4 linked regions of the Caenorhabditis elegans genome follow. The protein of the gene in region 1 purifies or fractionates together with the protein of each later gene. This does not show direct contact. Each region holds a gene or a part of one and is shown on either strand. Other genes may lie near its edges.

The links.
Region 2: the proteins of T27E9.2 (region 1) and F42C5.9 fractionate together in Caenorhabditis elegans (co-fractionation; one large-scale study listed by BioGRID). This does not show direct contact.
Region 3: the proteins of T27E9.2 (region 1) and nduf-6 fractionate together in Caenorhabditis elegans (co-fractionation; one large-scale study listed by BioGRID). This does not show direct contact.
Region 4: the proteins of T27E9.2 (region 1) and ndua-2 fractionate together in Caenorhabditis elegans (co-fractionation; one large-scale study listed by BioGRID). This does not show direct contact.

What each region holds. Positions count from the first base shown.
Region 1 is NC_003281.10:13,460,850-13,466,056, forward strand, and holds T27E9.2 (Cytochrome b-c1 complex subunit 6), read right to left. Parts: upstream 1,736-5,207; coding exon 1,508-1,735; downstream 1-1,507. Other genes in the region: abcf-2 (ABC transporter domain-containing protein), read right to left, coding at 1-984, 1,036-1,224, 1,284-1,358; ant-1.1 (ADP/ATP translocase), read left to right, coding at 2,382-2,439, 2,548-2,612, 2,658-2,878, 2,932-3,490; cdk-5 (Cyclin-dependent-like kinase 5), read right to left, coding at 3,969-4,055, 4,108-4,188, 4,589-4,719, 4,775-5,207.
Region 2 is NC_003282.8:7,312,578-7,320,261, reverse strand, and holds F42C5.9 (PH domain-containing protein), read left to right. Parts: upstream 1-3,158; 5' UTR 3,159-3,167; coding exon 3,168-3,362; intron 3,363-3,408; exon of another isoform or gene 3,409-3,530; intron 3,531-3,816; coding exon 3,817-4,040; intron 4,041-4,124; coding exon 4,125-4,614; intron 4,615-4,662; coding exon 4,663-4,923; intron 4,924-4,969; coding exon 4,970-5,217; intron 5,218-5,266; coding exon 5,267-5,414; intron 5,415-5,476; coding exon 5,477-5,569; 3' UTR 5,570-5,891; downstream 5,892-7,684. Other genes in the region: rps-8 (Small ribosomal subunit protein eS8), read left to right, coding at 6,403-6,513, 6,607-6,706, 6,757-7,062, 7,109-7,218.
Region 3 is NC_003279.8:7,088,802-7,094,484, forward strand, and holds nduf-6 (putative NADH dehydrogenase [ubiquinone] iron-sulfur protein 6, mitochondrial), read left to right. Parts: upstream 1-1,938; 5' UTR 1,939-1,940; coding exon 1,941-2,081; intron 2,082-2,129; coding exon 2,130-2,309; intron 2,310-2,354; coding exon 2,355-2,456; 3' UTR 2,457-2,560; downstream 2,561-5,683. Other genes in the region: nars-1 (Asparagine--tRNA ligase, cytoplasmic), read right to left, coding at 1-163, 216-688, 735-1,130, 1,173-1,256; prpf-4 (Serine/threonine-protein kinase PRP4 homolog), read right to left, coding at 2,660-2,770, 2,982-3,071, 3,119-3,363, 3,414-3,965, 4,050-4,470, 4,521-4,658, 4,897-5,540, 5,584-5,683. UniProt on the Caenorhabditis elegans protein: Accessory subunit of the mitochondrial membrane respiratory chain NADH dehydrogenase (Complex I), that is believed not to be involved in catalysis. Complex I functions in the transfer of electrons from NADH to the respiratory chain.
Region 4 is NC_003279.8:14,110,802-14,115,933, forward strand, and holds ndua-2 (NADH dehydrogenase [ubiquinone] 1 alpha subcomplex subunit 2), read left to right. Parts: upstream 1-2,834; coding exon 2,835-3,007; intron 3,008-3,051; coding exon 3,052-3,118; intron 3,119-3,163; coding exon 3,164-3,202; 3' UTR 3,203-3,284; downstream 3,285-5,132. Other genes in the region: dnj-29 (J domain-containing protein), read right to left, coding at 2-110, 171-407, 1,775-1,930, 1,991-2,106, 2,167-2,290; TLC domain-containing protein fld-1, read left to right, coding at 3,406-3,468, 3,684-3,911, 4,366-4,521.

The sequences.
Region 1 (5,207 bases):
AAAGTCAATATCCTTATAGATCCATGGAGTATTCTCGTTGTATCGGAATGAAACATGCTGAACCATGATAACTGGTGGTGGAATCTCCCCAGCATCAAAGAAGTAAAACTGTTTCACGGTTTCAGTGACAGCCTTTTCAGCGAGGCCTCCGGCAATCATCTTAGCCATAGTTTTTTCTTTGGATTGAGCTTGACGAGCGAGTTTGGCAGAACCGTGACCGAACCTCGCGACGTAATCTTTCATGTGTTGAAGTTGAGACTGTTCCCAGTTGTATCGTTTTTGTTGATTTTCGAGCAATTCAAGACGTGTCTTCACAAACTGGTCGTAGTTTCCTCCATAGTAAACCAATTGCTTTTGGAACAAATGAATGATGTTGGTGCAAACTCCGTTCATGAAATCTTGAGAGTGAGAAACCACCAACAAGGTTCTTTTATACTGAGCGAGTTCCTCCTCAAGCCACACACAAGCTTCCAAATCCAAATGATTGGTCGGTTCGTCGAGAAGTAAGACTGACGGTTTCAGGAAAAGTGCACGAGCGAGAGCAATGCGCATTCTCCATCCTCCAGAAAAATCTTTACATTTTTTCATTTGCATAGTTTTTGTGAATCCAAGTCCGTGCAAAATTTCGGCAGCCTTCTTTTCAGCGAGAGATGCATCCATTTCATCCAGCCTTTCGTAAACATCCATCAGCTTGTCCTGACTTTCCTCATCAGTCTGACTAGCAAGCTGCTCGGCAAGATGTTCCAACTCTTTTCTGACTGAATCGACATCAACGACCGCTTGAAGAGCAGTTTTCTCTGAAGCAGGCATTTCACGGGATACGAGGTACATATCCACGGACTCTGGGATTGGCATTTCCTTGTTGTAGATTGCCTGAATGATGGTAGACTTTCCAGATCCGTTCAATCCGATGAGTCCGTAACGACGTCCACGGTTGAGTTCGAGTTTCGTGTCAACGACAATTTCACGACCGTGGAATGTAATCTGAATGAAAACAAAGTTACTTGTTGGAGTCGCCAATTAAAAACCACTTACCGTCAGGCTTTCTACTCTGTGATCAAGACCCTTTGGATCGGAAGTCAATGATCCGGCGACTGAACGAGCAGCAGCGTTTTCCAATTCGATTTTGGCCAAGGTGGCGGCGGCCTGATCGAGCTCCTCGTCTAAACAGCAGAGACTGTTGACGGACGGATGTTGAGATGACATGGCGGTTGGTGTTTCTACCTGGAAATGAGATGATTATTATTTGTTAAACAAAAAAAAACTAAAAATCAATTGCTCACCTTCTTTTTTCCTTTTCCTCCTTTGGCGGCAGCCTTCTTAGCGGCCTCGCGTGCTTTCTTCGCATCAGACGGCATTGTTGTCCAGCAGTGATGCGGATGGGGTACCCTAAATTTTTATTTATTTATCTCTCAAATACACGGAAAAAGCGACGGATAAAAAATACGAGAGCGAAAATTCACATAAACTAGACGAGAAATCCTCAAAAAAAGCAGGAAAAGAAATATTATTTCAACGAAGCGAAGGCCTTTGGCATGGCACAGTGATCCAAATGGTGAACGTAGTCAGCCATCTCCTGATGGCAGGTCTCCTCAGTGTTAGAACGAGAGTTGACACGATCGTTGCACTCGTCGAGAATACTCTTGAATTCGGTGACATGGTCGGCACATCGCTCACGGTATTGAGTAAGTTGATCGACGTCAGCCTCGAGTGGCTCTTCCTTGTGGCTCGACATACTGATACCCGAAAAAAATTCCATGATAGTGACAAGTCATTGGCTCGATGAGAAGAGAAATATGAAGAAAACTACTTTAAAGCGATTCGAAAAACCGGTCATACCAAACTCCCGTAGGCATAAATTAGCCACAATGCGATATCGATTTTTTTCGGAACATTGAGGTTACGAATAACCAGTTATCTACAGTGTAAATAAACAAAAAACACTTCAAGTACTGCTTATCACTAATACACTATTGTGTTTGCTTTGACATGGCTCATAATTTTCATAAAAACTGAAACTTTCGCAATTAAGTTACTTTCTTGGAGTTATGACCTATTTTTCGAAAATAAATCACGTTTTTTTAATAAAACAAAACGTGAAAAATTCAGGAATGAAGGAACGAACACGTTTAGAAAAGAAAAATACGAAAAATCGATAACAAAACTGATATTTAGGCTCAAAATATGCAAAAAATCCCAAAACTGGGCGGTCAGAGAAAACTAGTGTTTGAATCGCCGCGCCTGACGCACCGTACTTGCGAGCGTGGCGAGACCTGCAAAGTGCCTCACGGGCTGTGCGCGCACCCCGTTTCGACGGGCGGCCGTCTTCCCACTATTGCTTCTGGCAAGCACCGACCACCGAGGTCCTTCAATCTTGAATCATGTCCAAAGAAAAGTCCTTCGACACCAAAAAGTTCTTGATCGATCTCGCCTCAGGAGGTAAGCTTTTTCAGTTTTTATTGCAAAAATTTGGAGGATTTCTATAATTATTAATTTTGGGTTTTCATTCGTCAAATTTGTGATTTAATTAATTTTGTTTTCTTTTAGGTACCGCTGCTGCCGTCTCCAAGACCGCTGTTGCCCCAATTGAGCGTGTCAAGCTTCTCCTCCAGGTGTGTGATGAAACTTTTTTCCACTATAAATATGAAAAATTTTAGGTCCAAGATGCTTCCAAGGCTATCGCCGTTGACAAGCGTTACAAGGGAATCATGGATGTTCTCATCCGTGTCCCAAAGGAGCAAGGAGTTGCTGCCCTCTGGAGAGGAAACCTCGCTAACGTCATCCGGTACTTCCCAACTCAGGCCATGAACTTCGCCTTCAAGGACACATACAAGGCAATCTTCCTTGAGGGACTCGACAAAAAGAAGGACTTCTGGAAGTAAGTTAAACATTGCATTATTGTTTTTAGAAAATTTCACATTTGAAATTCAGGTTCTTCGCAGGAAACTTGGCTTCCGGAGGAGCTGCTGGAGCCACCTCCCTCTGCTTCGTCTACCCACTCGACTTTGCCCGTACCCGTCTTGCTGCTGATATTGGAAAGGCCAACGACCGTGAATTCAAGGGACTTGCTGACTGCCTTATCAAGATCGTGAAATCCGATGGACCAATCGGACTCTACAGAGGATTCTTCGTCTCCGTGCAAGGAATTATCATCTACCGTGCCGCATACTTCGGAATGTTCGATACCGCCAAGATGGTCTTCGCTTCTGATGGACAGAAACTCAACTTCTTCGCCGCTTGGGGAATTGCTCAAGTTGTCACAGTCGGATCTGGAATCCTTTCCTACCCATGGGACACTGTTCGTCGTCGTATGATGATGCAGTCTGGACGCAAGGATATCCTCTACAAAAACACCCTCGATTGCGCAAAGAAGATCATCCAAAACGAAGGAATGTCCGCTATGTTCAAGGGAGCCCTCTCCAACGTCTTCCGTGGAACCGGAGGAGCCCTCGTCTTGGCCATCTACGACGAAATCCAGAAGTTCCTTTAAATTTGATAACACTTTGATAATTTTTACCTTGTCATTGTCCAACAAAATCTCGTTATGTAGCTTGTTTTAGCAAAGTAGTTCACCTAGCTACTATGTTAAGTTTTCAAAAATAAAGCGAGCCACATAAAAAGTTTTAAATCCTCTATTAAAGTTTTCCCCTTTTCAAATTCTCATTCTTTCCCTCAACACCCCGATTGAACATTCGTTAGGATAGCCCCTTTATCTGGACTCGGTTTGACAATCTCGGTTATTGCACCTGTGTTTGCCGTTGATCTTTAAAATTACTCGAACAACAATAAAACGTTGTTGATTTTCCCTTCGTTCAATTATGTGCCACAGAAAGATTTCAAACCGTAGCCGTTTATTAACGATGAGATTTTGTTTCGCAAGCAATGAGGTTCATTTGGGGTCAGTGGGGGAAGTGAATGCCAGGGAAAGCGAGAAAACAATGTGAGTAGGAAAGTGCAATAGTGAATAGTTAGACGTCAGAAGTGTCTGCGAAGTACGCATGGCGTAGAGCTGCATCGGCATCGATTCTTCCTGCTGGATTGCAAACAAGAAGTTTCTGCAAATACTTCGAGTTTGAGTAAGTATAATTTTTATTGGAAAAAAGTTACCTGTAAAAGATCACGGCCACGTGAATTCAAATTAGGTACGATTTGGCTCCATGTAAGCGTTGGATGGTAGATTGGGTAGGGCTGAAAAATGGTATGTTATACTTGTGTGTTCCTATAATGCAATGGAATTCAATTAATTATTGTCAATCTTAAATCTAGAACAGTTGTCTCTGCTTCTCTAAATCTACTCAATACTCTGTTCTCTGTCCTGTCCCAGCCGCCCGTGATTGTATGAATTACGTCACCCGAACAAACAGCTGAGCTCAAAGTACTCAATATCATTTCTTCTTTCTATCTTTTTCTTTTTTAGTTTTTCACCAATTGACACGGGCGGATAGTAGTCGGGAGGACAGGACAGCGGCAAAATCGTGGCAGGTAAAATGGAAAAGATAAGAAGACGGAATTAGAGAACTAAGAGAATTTGATAAGAATATGTAGAGGTGAAAATACAAAAAATTCAAAGAACTACGACATGTAATACCTTATAATCTGGAAGTTGTGTAATTGATGGCCAATTATCTTCGGATGGGCTGCCCAATTGCTTAAAAATTCGTTTCAATTGATCGTCAACATCAGCACCGGGGAATAATGGACGACCGGCATTTGAGATCTCTGAAAAAGTAAAAATTAGGAAAATTTATTGGCAAATTTAATTTTTAAAAAAAACCTGCAAAAATACACCCGGCAGACCACATATCAATTGAAGTATTGTACAATTTCGCTCCAAAAAGCACGTCCGGCGGTCTATACCATAACGTGACAACTTCTGCACTAAAACATCGAACTGGGACGCCAAACGCCCTGGCTAATCCAAAATCAGCTAGTTTCAGTGTCCCATTTGTATTAATCAGCAGGTTTTGCGGCTTGAGATCTCGATGAAGTACATGGTGAGCGTGGCAAAAGGATAAACCACGGAGAAGTTGAAGCATTAAGGATCGTGCAGTTTGTGCATCCATATACCCATTCAGCGAGTCGAAAAATTTTTTCAAATCCTGATCGCAATACTCAAAAACCAGTGTCAACTTGTTTTCTGAGTGAACAACGTCGTAGAGCCTTACTACATTTCGGTGTTTCAGCTCGCGGAGAATACAAATTTCACG
Region 2 (7,684 bases), on another chromosome or scaffold:
TTTCTCAAAATCTCTCTATATTTACCCAGTGCTTCTTAACTTTTTTGTCACACGTCTCTCCACAACGAGGAACAGCCGCAGAACAGAAACAGAAACATACGCGTGCGCGCGCGCCTCTTTCTCTCCGTCGGTCTGCCTGAAAATGAGAGGATGCGGGGGGCTTCTCTGTTCCTCTAACTTCCTGCGTTTCTTCATTTGTTGTCTATCTCTCATTTTTGGGTCGCTTCATTCTCTCTTAGTTCCTCTGTGAGGGAGGCTTGATGAATTGAGTGCATTCTCTCTTTCTCTCATTACGAAAAGGGCATTATCCTTTCGAGCTTCATCTTATTGTCTTTTTCCTTAAAAAATTACCTAAGTGGCCCTTTAACTTCTAGATAGACCTTGGATTTAGACTCTATCGTTTACATCCTCTATTTCAATTAAGCAAAATCCATTTTGCATTCCATATATCATATTATTTCTCACAGAAATAAGCTCTTACTCGAGCAAGTTCCCCAATATAATCCGCCTTATTCCCACCAGCAACCGGATAAACCTTTGAGTTCTGATATTTGATTAAAGGCTTTATCCTACTCGACGAAATGGGTTTTTGCATAAATATCCCAGTTTAACTCGGATATAACCTTGATATTTTTATAGAAACCAAGTGTCATAGAAATTTGCCAAGTGACTTTTTTTGTTCATTTGAACTTCCACTTATTTAAATAATTTTTCTTGAGAGGTCAAGTTCTCTGAACGTTATTCCTCTTCCAAAAACTCATTCAACCTAACAAAAATTGCAACAAAAAATTCTTTTGCCACAAAAAACGACATTCTATTTCATTCTTTCCGCTCTTTCGCATTTTTCATTTCGTGCTCCACCAGAAATTTCAAGGGTCCCATTCTCCTATAAATGGTAAATATTTTTGTGTTTTTCTTTGCTGTCATTTTTGTTCGTTGATTTCCAAATTCCCAAAGGAATAAAAAACTCTTCCGCAGAAGAAAAAAAAACATTCCCTCGTTTTCTTTTCTGATTTCATCTATAAATGATGAAGCTTTGAAACTGGAAAAAAGGCTGAAGGAGTCAAGGAAAGTGAGTGGAAGATAAACAAACAAAAAAGAATGCCAGAACTTTTTTTGCAGACAAAAAAATGGAGGAAAAGATTTATTTGGTGACTGATTTATGGGCTAGGCGGCGCCCCTCTCTTGGTCTTGAGGGATTTGCACGAGAATAATGACAAAAAAAACGAAAAGTTCGGGTGTGAAGGAGGTCTGCCAATAAAGGGCATTTAGGGGAAAAGAGCGTGATTTAGAATGCAAATAATTTTAGTGGAGGGGTTTAGATATTCATAAAGTTAATTTCACTTAATATATGCTCAATAAGTTGCCAAAGTTCTGTCAAGAACGTTTCATAATTTGGATTGCGTTGCTATTATGATAGATATTTTCGGTAAATTAAGCAGAAAATCGAAGAACCAAATAACAAAGCTTATGTTTTTTTTAAACTCAATATTTGTATGCCTGTCAGATTCTTCAAAGGTTCCATTTCAAAACCTATCTCACTTTATTTGATTGATGAGCCTTTCACTAGCTATTATAGAATTAAAATAGTATAGGCAAGCAATTGCTTCTAATTTACAAATTACAAATTACATTTGCCAATTAAACTGTATCATTTCACCTACTAAATCTCAATTTCTCCATTATTCTGAAAACTTTGAGAGACTCTTTAGAAAACACGTCTAGAATTCTTTGAACCTCTGAAATCCAAAGACAAACGACAAGCTTAAAGAAAACAAGAGGAAACACAAAAAATTTTTGTTTTTTCTTATTCTCTGGTTTTCCTTCCCATTTGTTCTGTCACTTTCTCGAGAAATCGTTTCCACATGGCAATTAGGCCGTCACATTGAACCTCTCCAAACTATTATTTTTCTCTTCCTCTCTACGTCTCTTCAATCACATTCATCTCTTATTGAAATTTCTGGGTCTGATCTCCAATCGGTTTCTCTTTCTCTCTATATTTCATAGATATCTGTTTCCGAAAAGACACGCATCGGATTTCCGTAGATTCACACGATATTCATAGGTGAATATTGGAATTTATGAATGGGAATTTGGCTTTCTATTGAAATATTTTCCTAGATCTTAGACAGATAGTAGCCCATTTCCTCTTATTGGGTCTTTACCAAAAAAAATGCTCCAAAAAAAAAGAAAGAAATTGTTTACTCGTTGCTCCCCTATTTGCACATAATCTTATTACGGAACAAAGACGGAAGAAGGCGAAAAAGAAATCATTATTTTCCCTTTTTGGGTCTTTTTTAGGAGTTAGGGCAGAATATTGCTACTTGTTTTTGTTTAATTATTTTTTTATTAAATTTGAAGTCAAATGTTATTGTCTTATTTTATTATACTTTCTTATTTAAAAGTTTCAAAATTTAACGTAATTTTTCTGATAAAATATTTATTTTAAGTGGTAACTTTTTATTGAAAACTTCTCTTCAAAGTTAACTTTGAACCCCAGCCTCGGGTCTTGGTGGAAGCCAAACTTTTCAACTACAGTACCCGTAAGTATTACAAAATTAGTATTCGTCCAAATAGAAAAGTTTATGATTATACTGTCGTGATTTTGAAAATTTTCACCACAACTTACTACAAAATTGTCAAACACCTATTTTAAAATTTTTCGAAAAATCCTCACAGGTACGGTAGCTGAAAACTTTCGCTCCAAGGGTTATTTTGTTTCTCCAAATTTTCTTCAAAAATCCATGTGACTTCCCGTTCAAATTTCCATTTTCACCCTCTCCTCAAATTGCGTTCCGTTGTTGTCTCCAAACATACCAAACCAACACAAAAAACCAACGACGACAAGTTTCAACAAAAAATGCAACCGGAAACTCTGCTCTCTCTCCCTAAATTTCTCAACTTCTTATTTCAAAAGAACGCCCTTTTTTACTAGTACGATTCAGTGGTTTTTTATTCGGATTTCGAAAACTGATACTTTCTTTCCGATTTTTCGTATTTTCTCCTTTTCCCGCCCTCTCCATTTTCCAATGTTTTATAGCCAGGCAAACATGTTTTATTGAATTTTCCCTATGCATGCTATTTTTTCTATTTGCTTTGATTGTATGTAGCTTCAAGTTGAAATATTATTTTTTCTACCAACTTCTCGTTTTTTCCAGCATATTTCAATGCCAGATTTGGAAATCAACGGAGTTGAAATGGAAAATGGTGTTGGAAGATCAGACAGTTTGAAAGCTGAAGAAGCAAATGCTCTGCGAGAATGGGATCCTAAGCATTTACTAAAAGCCCTCTACGAAATATCATATGAACCACGAGTTGAAACAAAAAGAAATCGATTTGTGACAATGGAAGGACATGTAGAGGTAAGCATTCGTAAATAAAGAAATTACCTTTGCTGTAGTTTATTTTGACCCGCTTTCTCAAGGAGTCTCCAAAAATTGTATGTAATACTCAGTAAATGCTCCTTTGCACGGAAATCTTTAGTAAAAGGCGAAAGATTTTCACGGTTAAATGCAGAGGAACCAGAGTTGATTGTGCACCTCTAAATTGGAACGTGATGAACTCCGTGTACGGACATCTGGCGGGTTTCGCTCACCACGTTGGGGAACGTAGTGGGCGGAGTTTTTGCTTGGAAATTTTCAGGCCTAGAAAAAACAAAAACAGTGATCACATTCCAGAAACCAAAACTCCTACGTCCAAAAGCTATTCAAAAAATATAAAATAGTTTCTATTCATAATAAAAAATAACAATTTTAATTATAATCTCAACTGATTGAGAAATTGGAAAAAACTATATTTTGAGCTATTTCATTCCAGGTCCCAGCCGACGAGGTCACAAAATCAGACGGTCTAGATAATGAAGGATGGATGAAGCAGTACATTCGAATGAAAGAAGGACGTCTTCAAATCTTTGCATCTCACTACGCAGGAGAAGCTCCAGCTCAAGAACTTGTGCTCTCTGGAGCAGATGTAGATGCCAATAAGGATGAGAGAACTTTGACTATTCATGGAGGAAGGGAACATGTTAAATACTATTGCAGGTTGGTAAATTTATGCTTAAAAGTTTCACATTTTATAAAAACCTAATTGTTTTTAATTTTTCCAATAATTTATTAAAATTTCAGAGTTCCATCAGCAGTATTCGACAAATGGCGTCAATCATTCCTATCACACTGTGCATCTTCTCTAATTGATGCCTATGTTAAACCAATTCCAAGAGCATTCCAACATTTAACTGAAAGAATTTTGATTCTTGAACTTGGTTCATGCTCAATCAGAGCCGGTGTTCTTACAACAGAACCATCACTTCCACAATCATTCTTCCCAGCCATAGCCGTCCGAACTGATGATGGAAAGATTTTCGTTGGAGAAGACGCTTATAGGCCGGAAATTAGACATAATGGTGATTTTGTTCGACCAATCTCTGCTACAGATCCATCAGTGGAAAGATATTCAATTGATAAAGATGTTCTGAAAGCAGTTATTGGAAAAGTAACAAAGGAATTGAAAGTTGAGCCATGGAAATATAAAGTTTTACTTTCAATCCCTCAAAATATCCCAACTGTTTTGATTGGAGAATTACTCCAGATTTGTCTTGAAGATATCAAATTTCAAGTGAGTTATCGCTGAGAAAACTTTTTTGTCTAAAAAATAAACTTTCAGTCGGCAGGAATCACTCGTCAGCCATCACTGATTCTGTATGCTTATGATGTTACAACTGGAGTTGTTGTCGATATTGGAGAAAGAGTTAATATTGTTCCAGTAATTGATGGATATGTCGTCGAATCGGCCATTTGTTCAATTCCATATGGATCACAGCAAATGGGAGATTCGTTAAGAGCATCATTAAGTGCTCATAACAAAGGATTATACGCTTTTCAAAGTCCTGTGGAGAAGCTTATTTTAAGATTTGCACTGGAACAGGTAAAATTTAATCGTATTAATTTTCAAAAAAATACTTGAAGTTTAGACTACCTACGTACCAGAGGATTATCAAAAAGAAGAAAAATCAGAAAATAAAGAAACTAGAATCTCATTAGATGCTTTCACACCATCACCTGGAATGCAGACCCGATTCGATATTGATAACTCCAGATTTTTATGTACGGAAGGACTATTCAAGCCAAAGAAATGGGGTCTTGACACGAAAGGTCTCCACCAATTGATCCACGAGGCAATTCTTCAGTGTCCAATTGATAGTCGTCGAACACTGTATAGGTAAGAATCGTTAGTTTTCTAAAATTTATGACCAAAATTATGCTTTCAGAAATATTTATTTGGCTGGAGGAGCATCTCTTATGCCAGGAATTGCTGAAAAACTCGAACAAGAATTATCTACAGTAGTTCCAAACACAATTCACACTCAAGTTAACATCAGTCCATGGCGGTATAACGCAGCATATCTTGGAGCCCAAGTAAGCCCACCAACTAAAAAAAAACCAACTAATAGAACAACGGTAAAATTTTAAAATTTCAGATCGTCGCATCAGCCTCCACATTTGAAGACTCCTGCATTTCTCTTCAACAGCTTCCAAAGTTCCTTGCACAGCTCCAGTCATCGTCTTTCTGAAGCTTCGACCTGAAAAATAATGATTTCGTTAATTTCTTATGATTTCACTGACCAACCTGAAAATTCCGCTTTAGAGGCTCATTTTCCTGCTTTTTCGAGAGTTTTCTTTAGACCTTCGTGTACTATTCGCTTTTGTACAATTATTTTCCTTTTGTTTTATCGATTTTATTTGTCCGAGAGCTCTTTTTTACATATTTTTGTGATACTGTTGTCGTAATGTTTTCCCCGCAGTTACTTTCGTTAAAAGTTATGTCAGACAGTTGAGTCGGCTAGCAATTTTAGCTAGACAAATTTATTGCATCATAAACATTTATTTATAAAGTTTTTTTGTTTTTTTTTCAAATCAATTGAAGAATTCTACACAAAAACAGATATGATTGGAATTTTATTTTTTTACAGCGAAATATTGACTAAGTAATTTGATAATTTCAACAAAAAATGCAGATAATTTTTGTCGAATTTCTATAAATCTTTAATGTAACAAAAAGAGCACGAAAATCATGTGAAATAAAACACTTTTTTAAAGGGACATGGCATTTCACGAGTGAAGGGTCTCGCCGCGATCTCTCATCTGCAGCAGCCGCCGCTCTCTGTTTACCACTGTGAATTTTTAGGCCCGATTTTCTTTTTCTATTTTTTCTTCAATGTTTCTGCTTTTTGTTAAATTTTCTCGAAAAAATCACTGAAAAATAGAAGAAAATCAATGTTTTAATCACTTTATTGTGTTTTGAAAAATTTAATGTTCGAATATTTTTGTTTCGAGAAGGAAACTCTTTCATTTATCGTATTATGTATTTTTAATTCATTTTTGTTAAATGTGAAACGTTTTCAGCATGGGTATCTCGCGCGACTCTTGGCATAAGCGCTACAAGACCGGAGCCACTCAACCGGTCCCTCACAAGAAGAGGAAGTTCGAGCTCGGACGTCCAGCTGCCAACACCAAGGTAAGAGCTGTTTAATTTTTATTTTATTTACCAGGGATTTGGTTGAATCAGTAAAATTAAATTTAAAAAAGATGATCGCGAAATTACTCTCAGATTGGAGCCCACCGCGTTCGTCTCGTTCGCACTCGTGGAGGAAACGAAAAGTACAGAGCTCTTCGCCTCGACTCCGGAAACTTCTCCTGGGCCTCTGAGCGTAAGTTTCGTTATTATACTTTATAAACCGTTCATATTCTGATTTTTCAGAGACTACTCGCAAGACCCGTATCGTTGATACCATGTACAACGCTACAAACAACGAGTTGGTCCGTACCAAGACTCTTGTCAAAGGAGCCATCATCAGCGTTGATGCTGCTCCATTCCGTCAGTGGTATGAGGCTCACTATGCTCTCCCACTTGCCAGAAAGAAGAACGCCAAGCTTTCCGAGGAAGACAACGCCATCCTCAACAAGAAGAGATCCCACCACACCATGAAAAAGTACACCGAGCGTCAAAAGACTGCTGCTGTTGATGCACTCCTCATCGAGCAATTCAACACTGGACGTCTTCTCGGTAAGAAAATTCAGAAATTTCTTCAAGTTTAATCATTATTTTTCAGCTCGCATCTCTTCTTCCCCAGGACAAGTCGGACAAGCCAACGGATACATCCTCGAAGGAAAGGAACTTGATTTCTACCTTCGCAAGATTCGTGCCAAGAAGGCCAAGTAAATGCCTTTTGTGGTTGTTTTCTTGTTTTTGTTACATAAAACATAAACGAATTGTTACTAGAAATTTGTTAATAGCACATTTGGAATAAGGTTACAACTGCAGGGATTTTATGCATTATTGTTGGGCGAAGGATATACAATGGTGATTCTATTATTAAAGATGTTCCTGACAGACAGCCCATGGGTCTAAAGGAATTTCAGTTCGGTCTGCAAAGGATTGCTTTTTAATAGAGATGTTCTCGGGAAGGCTGAAGTAGTAGTGATCAGAGATGGGCTGGCCAGTATGACATGAACATTTTTAATACATCGAGAAGAGTTTCGTTCTGGATTAGTATGAGCTCATAATGCACAGTTTCAGAAGCGCCTTAAGTTATAGGTACAAAAGCAGTTTGAAAAGTTCGTGGTGTTTTAAAGTCTTGTTAATTCGAATCTGGCAATGTCGAGAAGGAAACTAAACGTGGATGCCA
Region 3 (5,683 bases), on another chromosome or scaffold:
CTCGATCAACGATTTGGTGACTGGATCTGCAAGAAGCCGATCAACAGTATCACAAACAAGAGCCTCAATGCGATCCATAAGTTGATCGAAAGTGATAAAAGCGCATTCAGCCTCAACGTGTTGATACTCTGACAGATGGCGACGAGTTCTCGATTTTTCGGCTCTGAAATTTATTTTTGAATACTAGTGTTCTAAAAAAATGTCAAAAAACCTACCTGTACGACTGTGAAATACAATAAACATCACCAAGAGCAGCATTGCAAGTCTCCAAATAAAGTTGAGAAGATTGTGTCAAGTATGCAGGCTCTCCATAATAATCAAGCCCAAAGAGAGTGGAACCACCCTCAACTTGTGTTTGCACCAAAGTTGGAGGAGCAACTTCAGTATATCCAGCAGCAAAGAAATGATCTCTCATTGCACGAGTAGCTGCAGCGCGAATACGAAGAATTCTTGATGCATTCTCTCCACGGATGACAAGGTGGCGGTTATCAAGCATCACATCGACTCCAGCGCTTTCGTTGAGAACGTTGTCAATTCCTCCAGCTGGTGCTTTGCCAATAACCTCCCAATAGTCAACGGTAAGCTCGTGACCATCAGGAGCGGATTTTCCATCGGGAAGTGCCTTGATAATTCCATAAACTTGAACAGAAGTCTCTGTTGAGAGAGTAACAGCATCATAACTTTGACACTGGAAAACGAAACGATTATAGTTGATCTTTGAAACTATTTCATACCAACTTATCGTTCAAAACACATTGAAGGAATCCATAACCGTCTCTAAGAACAAGGAACATGAGTGACTTTCCTTGACGACGAAGACGATGTACCCAGGCTTTGATTGAGACTCGTTGATCGCGATGCTGCACAGATTCTCCAATCTTGATAACCTTAGCTTCTGGAAGAGACTTGTCAAGAGAAAATGTAATCTTCTTGGCTTCTTCGAGAGCAGCATGTTGAGCCTCTTCGGCTTCTTTCTCCCTACAACCAGCTTTCTCCAGCTTTTTCACTTCAGCTTCGTATTTTTTCACTGCCTTTTTGATAGCAGCTTTCGCTGCTGGTTCCCACGATTCCCCTTCCTCTGACTTTTTCTTCATCAAGAACTCGCCCGAGTTTTTCGAAATAAGCATAGCCTGAAAAGTTTGTTTTTAGCAACTATATTTTTGTGTGCTAACCTGAACCAAAGTAGCCAATGGCTGAGCTTCTGTTCCGGGATGCTGATCAGATCCAGCATCGGTATCGATGTAAAGCTTGGACATGTCGACTGTAAATTAAGATATTTATGAAACAGTATACGGAGTTCCTAAAAGTTATTTTAAAATGTAGCAGAACTGAGCACAGAAAGTTACATTTAACGAAACAGAGATGAATAAATGTTTACTCATTCATTTTGAAAGACACACTAATCTGTACATTATAAAAAAGTAAAGAATTGGGAAAATCTGACGAAAATTCCAACAAAAGTGAGATTGTGCAATCGCACGAAACTGTCGTCAAGTTCAGTGTTTGCGTACTCCCCTGTCTTAACTCTTACTTTAAATTTATGCCTCCCTAGCTGAAAATCAAATCAATTTTAGACAATCTTAGAATAAACATGTATCCTATTTAAAATTTGACGGGTCAAATTAATTTATTCGTTCACAAATCACTCAGAAAACGATGTGGAAGATTCATTACGGTGCACAATGGTAATTCGTGTTTTTGACGCAAGCATTTCATTTGACGCCAAGTTGCGGGCGTTGAGAAACATCTTTTTAATTGACGTCAAATTTGTTTGAAAACAGATGATTAACAACAATTTGTCTAGTTTAAGTATAAAACAATGTTTGTTCATGTTTTATAAAGAAGGAAATTGTTACGGTTTTTACAATTATTTCTTCGTTGCTCTTTTATATTGAATTCAAAGTTGTATCGATTAATCATAATCACTGTTTGGTTTAGTAATGAACCGGCTTCTTCAACAGTCGGTTTCACGCGGACCTCTTGCCGTCCGAGCTTCTTCTACAATTACAACAAAGCCACCAACTCCGAATCAAATTACCAAAAACAATGCACAATTCGACAAGGTGACTCACACCGGACAAGTAAGTGTTTCTTATATAACTTTTCAAATAAAATAAGCACATTTTCAGGCGTGGGATCAATCTGATTATCGTCTTCAAAGATTTGATATTTCGAAGAAAAGCGTCAATCCAAATGTAGCAATGCATCTTATTGATCAACGCCCTCCAGAGGATTGCGGGGATAAGAGAGTTGTCTTCTGTGATGGAGGACATCCAGCTCTTGGACATCCGAAAGTATACATCAACCTTGTTAGTTTTTTTTTAACTTTTAATGTCACACTTTAATTTTTTCAGGACAAACCAGGAGTTCATGCTTGCGGATATTGTGGAAACCGATTCTATAACTCGCACGCCACGAAGGCAGAGGACATGAAGATCCAACACCTCAACTGCTAATTTGTCTAGCCTCTTGGTTTTATTTTTTAGTATGTATACAAAACAAGTAGCGAATTTACAATCATTTTCATTTAAAATTTCCATAATGAATCGAAAGATAACAAAAAATTTGCTGTCGAGGAATATGTATTTAAATATAGCATACATACAATCGAAATAGGAGAAGAGAAATTAGAGATCACCGAAAAAATTTGGGAAATGTATTATTTGATAGGTATGGTGAAGAATGGGTGTTTGAGAGCCTCATTGCAGGTTGTTCGTTTGCTTGGATCAAGAATCAGCATTCCATCGAGCAAAGTTCGGAACGCTTGTATCTGTGAAAATAAAAATGTAGTCATTATCCAATCAGCCATATCGAGAAAATTAACCGAAGATGAGCACCGCTAATGACATTTTATTTTCGCTCTTATAAAATCTCCATTCCAGAAAATTAACAAAGTGGAGAGGAACATAGAGCGGGGGTGAACCAGGGACATTTGGGTGGTCGACAATAGTCTAACCAGCTGCACTATAAGGTACACTAACCTGATCCATTTGGTCTCTGCTCAAACGTTGCCCGGCAATCAATTCTGATTCCAAATCGCGTGTCGGTTTCAAATTTGCAAGAACAGTAATCTGAAAACATAAAAATGTAAATACTTTGAGTTTTCAAATATACAAACCTTGTTTCTTTCTGTAACTTTGTCAACTTCTTGATACAAAAGATTACAGTTTACATCAAAGTGAGTATCTTTGAATTGCGATTTTCGAACCAATTTGTTGGGATATTTTCCTTTGACATCAGTGAACAATTTCAACATATGATTATTGGTTCGTCCTGGGAACATGATTTTTCCAGTGTAAACTTCATAGAGAGTAACTGCAACGGACCAGAGGTCAATTGCATAGTCATGACGGACTCCGAGCACTGAAAATTGTATTTTATTTCTGGGAACAAAATTTTAATTTAAAACTCACTAATTTCTGGTGCACGATAAAATCTAGAGACCAAGTATGGGGCCAATTCTTGTTCATTGACGCGACCAGCAGAACCAAAATCACAAAGTTTTAATGTTAGCTTCGACTCATTTACAAGAATATTATCAGGTTTAATATCAGCATGAACGAATTCCAACTTTTTGAGAAGACGCAGAGCCAGAAGTAGTTGTTGAGCATAACTTCGAACTGCCTTTAAATGTAATCCATCCTTCTGTCCGTATTTTTTCAAAAGTTCTCGTAGATTCATGCTCAAATTTTCAAAGACTAGACACAAGTGATTGTGATGCTTGAAAGTTCTGAACAGTCGAAGACAATGATATTTATCCTCCTTGTCAGCTTCATTCAATTTTCGAAGAACTTCAAGTTCACGGAGTCCTGTTTTGTACATAACTTCGTTGTTTCTGATAATCTTGACAGCAACAGTGTTTCCTTTTGTCTGATCATTGCATCGGCATACATTACCAAAAACACCAGCACCAGTGAAACCAACAACACGATAACGTGTGTCTAGGAGCTCTCCAATTCTTACGCCTGAAAATCAGAAAATTAAATATTTACTTTGGAAGATATAACAAGTAGACAAACTTCCTATATAAAATCAAAATTACAACTCACGATAGTATCCTTCTACATCATCCCAATTATCTTTCAAAGTGTCGTGTACTGCTCCACTATGCCCATCAATTGTTGTACTGTCTTGTGGAAGTTCCTCATTATCAGCGAACATATCGAATCCCGTATCATCTTCCTCTTGCTTTTTCTTTTTAGCTGCTTCGGCGGCGGCTTCTGCTTCCAATTTCTTTTTCTTCTCCTCTTCCTCCCGCTTTTCTTGCTCTTTCAATTGAGTATGCCAGTCTTCTCTGTATTCTTCATCTTTTCCTCTTTGAAGTACTTCGTCTACATTATGTTCATCTGCATCTTTCATGTGAACCATTTTATCTCGAAGACCAGAGAAGAAATCAGTTGGAGTGTCATTATCCGATTGAATACTTACTGGAGTCGATGCTCCACTCCCTTGCTCGCTTCCGAATCGGGTCTGAAATTTTCAAAATTATTGTCTAACCGATTTTTTTCTATTTATCTTACAGATTTTATCAGATCTTTTGCTTCAGCCAGTTTGCGATCGTCTTCATCATCTTCCGAATCGGAGCTACTGTCTTCTGATTCGTCAGTCTTTTTGTCTCCGATTGTATCACTTCTTGGAGTACTGCTATCACGCGGAGTCTGTAAAAACATAAAATATCTGTAAACAATTTATCTTTTAGAAAGATAGACTAATTTTTGATCGATACGTTCAAAAATGGGCTCGATTGGATTTGAATATGGTTCTTGCATTCAATCCGAACATATAAAGGTATTAAGGTGTCCGATAAAGCTTTTAAATATAACAAAAATCAAAATTGAGGTATTGAGATACATTGTGAATAGAACTAAAATTTTCAGAAATTGAAGAATAACTCACATTTTCTTCAGTATGCCCTTCAATCTTCTTTATAATTTGAATTCGTCGCTTTCTTGCCGCTTCAATTTTCTTCTGTTCATCATCAGAATCAGAATCCAAATTCCACTCAACATCCTTTGACTCATCTTTTCTCTTCCCATCCTCTCTTTTTCTATCCGAGTCACGTCTTCTATCAGGACTTCTTCTATGACGATCCTCTCTTCTTCCATCTCTGTCACGACGATCTCTGTTGTTTCTGAATCTTTCTGGTGTTCTATCTCTACGACGATTTCCTTCATGAGCACGCGGATCTCTTCTGTTATCTTCTCTTTTTCTCTGAATCAATCTTCGTTCTTTACTAAGTGATCGATCTCTTCGTTCAGCATCTCGTCTTTCTCGCAATTCACGATCCCTACGTTCAGCACTTTTTGAGCGTTCCCTTCTAGGAGGATTTCTGAGTTCATCTTCATTGTTTCGAGATGATTCTTTTGCTTCTTTCTTTTTAGATTCGTCTTTTTTAGTATCGACTTCTTCTAAAGTTCTCTTTTTTGCTGGAGGACCATCATTTTCCATTTCAACTTCTTTTTCGCGTTTATGTTTTTTCTCCTTCTTATGCTTCTTATCCTTTTTGTGTTTTTTCTCTTTCTTATGCTTCTTCTTTTTATCTGTAAATAAAACTAATTATTTGAAACAATTTAATATTCTCACCTTTTCCAGATCTTTCCGAATCAGTCCTTTGTCTCTTCTCAACCTCGGAATCCGATGCCTTCTCATCTGAAGACGTTCCAACATCGGATTTCACTTCCCC
Region 4 (5,132 bases), on another chromosome or scaffold:
CTTCCAATCTCCATTCTCGGTGTCCGATTGATGAAATAATAGTACATTCGTGTGGTGTCCAGAAGAACCTTGTCAGCGCTGTATTTGATCGAGCTATACCACCACATTCCCTGAAAAATCGATTTTTCGCGAAAATTTCCAATTTCCGCCATTTCCAGCGCCAAACTCACAACAGAAACGGGCAAAATGATCATAAAAATGAGCCCATAGAAAGCGAGCACCCAGAGTCCGTATTCTTTGCTCACAAGCCATTTGGGCAGAGCAATTCCGAAAGTTGTGGCAGTTGGGCCGTCTGGATTTCCGTATTTTTCCCAGTTTTCGCGAGCTTCTTTATCGGTGAGAGCCTGGTGAGCCTTGGCGATTTTATCGAAGAATTGAGCGTCTCCTCCACGATCCGGATGGTGAATCTGCAAAAAATTGGGTAAAAATTCCAGATTTTTGAGCATTTTTGTGGGGAAAAAACTGAAATTTCAGAAATTTTAAGGCGAAAACAGGGCAAAAATCATGTTTTCCCGAGAAAAACTGTCTGAAATTCAATAAAAGTGCCCGAAAATTCAGTTTTTGGGTGAAAATTGCAATAAAATTTGGGAAACAGTGGGCTTTTCCAGTAAAAATAGCCAAATTTTCAGTTTTTTGGCGAAAAATTATGATTTTTATGGTACTTTCCACAAAAAATTCCTTATTTTACGGCGATTTCGCACAAAAATTTGTTGAGGCTCACACTACAAACTACAAAAACTATCAGCCTCACCAAAAATTACTGAAATTTCAGAAATTTTAAGGCGAAAACAGGACAAAATTCATGTTTTCTCGAGAAAAACTGTCGGAAATTCAATAAAAGTGCCCGAAAATTTAGTTTTTGGGTGAAAAAATGCAATAAAATTTGGGAAACAGTGGGCTTTTCCAGTAAAAATAGCCAAATTTTCAGTTTTCTGGGCGAAAAATTATGATTTTTATGGTATTTTCCACAAAAAAATTCCCTATTTTACAGAGATTTCGCACAAAAATTGGTTGAGGTTCACGCTACAAACTACAAAAAGTGATTAGCCTCAACCAAAAATGCATGATTATTGGTTGAGGCTCACACTACAAACTACAAAAATCTCCAGCCTCACCAAAAATTAATGCAAATTTTTAGCCTAAAATTCCTGGAAACTGCAATTTTGGAGGCAAAAAAAGTCAAAAAAATCGATTTTCAAGCCGAAAAAGGTCGAAAATAAGCTTTTTTTTCGAGAAAATATCTAATGGAGTGAAATTTCAAGATTTTGAGGCTTTTCTGTGGGAAAAAATAAATTTTCAACAATTTTAGCGAAAAAATTGGTTTTCAGCGGAAAAAAAAACCAAAAATATAGATCTTGACGCAAAACCGACCGAAAATTGCAAAAAATTTAGTTTTAGAGTAAAAATTGCAATAAATTATGAAAAAATTGGGTTTCTCCAGTAAAAATAGCCTAAATATTAGATTTATTGGCGAGAAAGTGTTTGAAAATCAGGTTTTTGCAAAAATATTTCGATTTTCGAGGCATTTTCCACGAAAAAATCCATATTTTACGGAGATTTCGCACAAAAATTGGTTGAGGCTAACACTACAAACTACAAAATTCGCGAGCCTCAACCAAAAATTAAAACAATTTTTTCATCTAAAATACTTGGAAACTGCATTTTTCGAGGTAAAAAACAGTAAAAAGTTCGATTTTCTTCGATTTTCAAGCTGAAAAATGTCGAAAATAGGGGTTTCTCAGTAAAAAATCGCCGAAATTCCAATTTCCAGCACCTTTGACATATCTCTCCAGGCCTTTTTGATGGCCTTCTCGTCGGCGCCCTGATCCAGACCCAAAATCTGATACGGGTCATAGTCCTTGTGAGTTTGCTCGATTTCAGTCGTTTTTTTCACAATTATCGCGAAAATTGCCCACGCTACAACGAGAACCTGCAATTTTTTGGGATTTTTAGTGGATTTTTTCCGGATTTTTCAGTTTTAAAGCCTTACAACGATGGTAATAATCTTTTTAGTCCGTCGCCACGGCTTATTCGCCGCTTTTTGTCGTCTTTTCTTGTCACAACCGTCGCATTGGCACTCGTGTTCGTTGATCACGTGTTCTGGTTCTAAAAATACGAAAAAATACGAAAAAATTATGAATTTTAAGCCAAAAAATCGATTTTTACCTGGTTTCGAGGCTCCTGGAAGGCATAGGTAGGTCGCCGGGAACAGAATAATCGCGTAGAATGCCACGAGCACATAGTAAAATGTGTTGCCGACTTCGTCGTACTCAAACGACGCGCGGCCCATTTTTTAGCGATTAATTACTGTAAAAATAGTGATTTTTTGAGTTTATCAAGTGGTTTTTCGTTTGAAAATATCGAAAATAACGTTGAAAAACTGAAAAAATGTGCGATGACGTGACACTTCGATTTGCAGTGTCTTCCGCAAAACTGTGCGGCGGTGTTGCAAAATTGCGTGCGCCACTTGCAAAAAGGGGCGGAGTCATTGGTTTTTGATGATTTTAATGGGTTTTTCGTGATTTTTAACTCAAAAAATTGAGAAAAAACTTGTTTTAGCACTAAAATTTGATAGATTTAGCAAAATTTAGGCAAATTTCCTAAAATATCAGCAATTTTCAAAGACTTTGCTCAAAAAACATGAAAACAGCAAAACTGTGCGTAGGAGTTGCAAAATACCGCGCGCCGCGCTTGCCAAAGTGGGCGGGATCACGGGTTATTTATTTTTATAATAAATTTCGAAAAAAATAATCGGTTTTTGTTGGTTTTATTGGATTTTTCTGCATTTTTTAAAGTTTTTTTTTGATTTTAAAGCTTAAAATATCGATTTTCAGATGTCTGTCCGTCTTGCCGGCACCGCTCTTCGCGAGATTCGCATCCACGTCTGCCAGAAAAGTCCAGCATCGGCGGGAGTCCGCGCGTTCATCGAAAACGACTATGTTGGAATCAAAAAAGCCAATCCACAGTTCCCAATTCTGATTCGTGAGGCGTCTGGCATCGTGCCAAGGTGGGAAATTATCGATTTTTGGGTGAAATTGCGGTTTTTTGCAGAGTTTTCGCCAGATACGAGCACGGAGTTGAGCGAGTCGCCACTTTGGAGGATTTGTCGAGAGAAAATGTAGGATTTTTGGTGGAATTTAATGCCGAAAATCGATATTTTCAGGTCAAATCTACTATTACTCAATTGGCGTCCCAGAAATAACCTGGCGAAGAGTTTAGAGTCGAAAAAAAATTCTAATTTTTTAATTTTTCCTGTAGAAATTCATTGAATAAATCGTTTTTATAGCTTTTTTAAGCGAATTTTTTTGAATTTTCCGGGTATTTTCACCCAAAAACCTACTGTTTTACCTATTTTTCCGTAATATTTCCAATTTTTATCAGTTTTTTTTCAGACAGTTCTGGAAAATGCGGCAGCTGGCGGAGCTGTTGACGGATCTTCTTGGCCCAGTGCCAACAATGTTTTTATGGGTAAGAAATTCGAAATTTCAAATAATTTCAAATAAAACTCAAAAAAAAATTAATTTTTTAAATAATTTTTCGTGAAAAATTAATTATTATTTATTTCTAATTTTCCAATGAAATCAACAACGATTTCTTCGATTATTTTTGTGAGTTTTCACTCAAAAAATGCCAAAAACCCCCGATTTTCTGCGAATTTAGGCCCAAAAATCCATTTTCTCCAGGTAATCGTCTCATTTGCCTTCTTCCGAGCCCTGCAATTCATCGTTCGTTGGTACTTATTTGGCAAATGGACGTGGCCGAACTTTAACTTTTTCGACATCCGAAACCGCATTCGGAGGAGACGGAGAGGCGGTCAAGAAGCTGAAAATACTGAAAATCCGCCTGAAAATGAGGCAGAAGCCGGCGAGCAGGTCGAACAGGAGCCCGAGCCCGACAGCAGAGATCTGTCGGTGAGAATTCAGAAATTTACTGCAAAAAAAATCCAAAAACTAGGAAGTTTGAGCTAAAAAAGCAGTTTTTTTTTTCGAAATTTGAGCATTTTTTGTTGAAAAATATCGATTTTACAGCATTTTAAGCAGTTTTTCATCAAAAAAAAAGTTGGTTGAGGCTACACAAATTTGTAGTTTTTAGTCTTAGCCTCAACCAATCAGCTTTTGCTTCAAAACGCCGAAAATTGTTGAAATTTCTATCAAAATCGCTTATTTCTAGAGTTTCTACTACAAGTTTCAATAAAAACTTTACAAAAACGTTGAAATTCTTTCCCAAAACTCCTGAAAAGTGCTCAAAACTTGGTTGAGGCTACACAAACTTGTAGTTTGTAGTCTGAGCCTCAACCAAATCAGCAAATCAGCCAGAAAATATAAATTTTTCCGAATTTTTACCTAAAAACTCCACATTTTCCAGGCTATCCCACCGAATAAGAAATGGCGAATCTCCAACGAATGTGTCTCACTATTCCACTCGGTTATATCAGGATTATGGGCCGCCTACGCACTTTTATACTATAAACAGCTCGTTCAGGACCTCGTTAATTATCGATGTGACGTTGCAATCAATTTGGTTAGATTTTAGCGAGAAAATTCGGAAAAAATGACTAAAAAACTCGAATTTCGAATAAAAAAAACCAAAAAAATTGGTTGAGGCTACACAAACTTGTAGTTTGTAGTCTATAGCCTCACTCAATGAAATCAATCAATTTTCCCCACAAATAATGCAATTTAGTGCTAAAAATTGGCAATTTTTCAACTTTTCTCAACCAATTTGTGAGTTCTGTCCATATTTTGAGGAAAAAAAATCAAAAAATGTCGATTTTGTAACAAAAAAGCACGGAAAACGTTGGTTGAGGCTGAACCGAATTTGTAGTTTGTAGTCCCATCGCTTCAACCATCATTGAGTCACGAAGAGACTACAAAATACAAAAGTTGAACGTTTTTGCTCAAAATGTTGCGATTTTCATCGAATTTTGTTCGTTTTTCTGCAATTTTCGCCGATTTTTTTGTGAGAAATTGCCAAAAATTTCGAATTTTCAAGAAAGTTCCGAGTGAATTAGTGAAAAAAAATTTGTTGAGGCTCTCAAGTTTTTATAGTTTGTAGTCTATAGCCTCACTCGACGAAAAAATCAAATTTTCTTCACAAATAATGCAGTTTTGTGCTGAAAATAGTGTATTTTT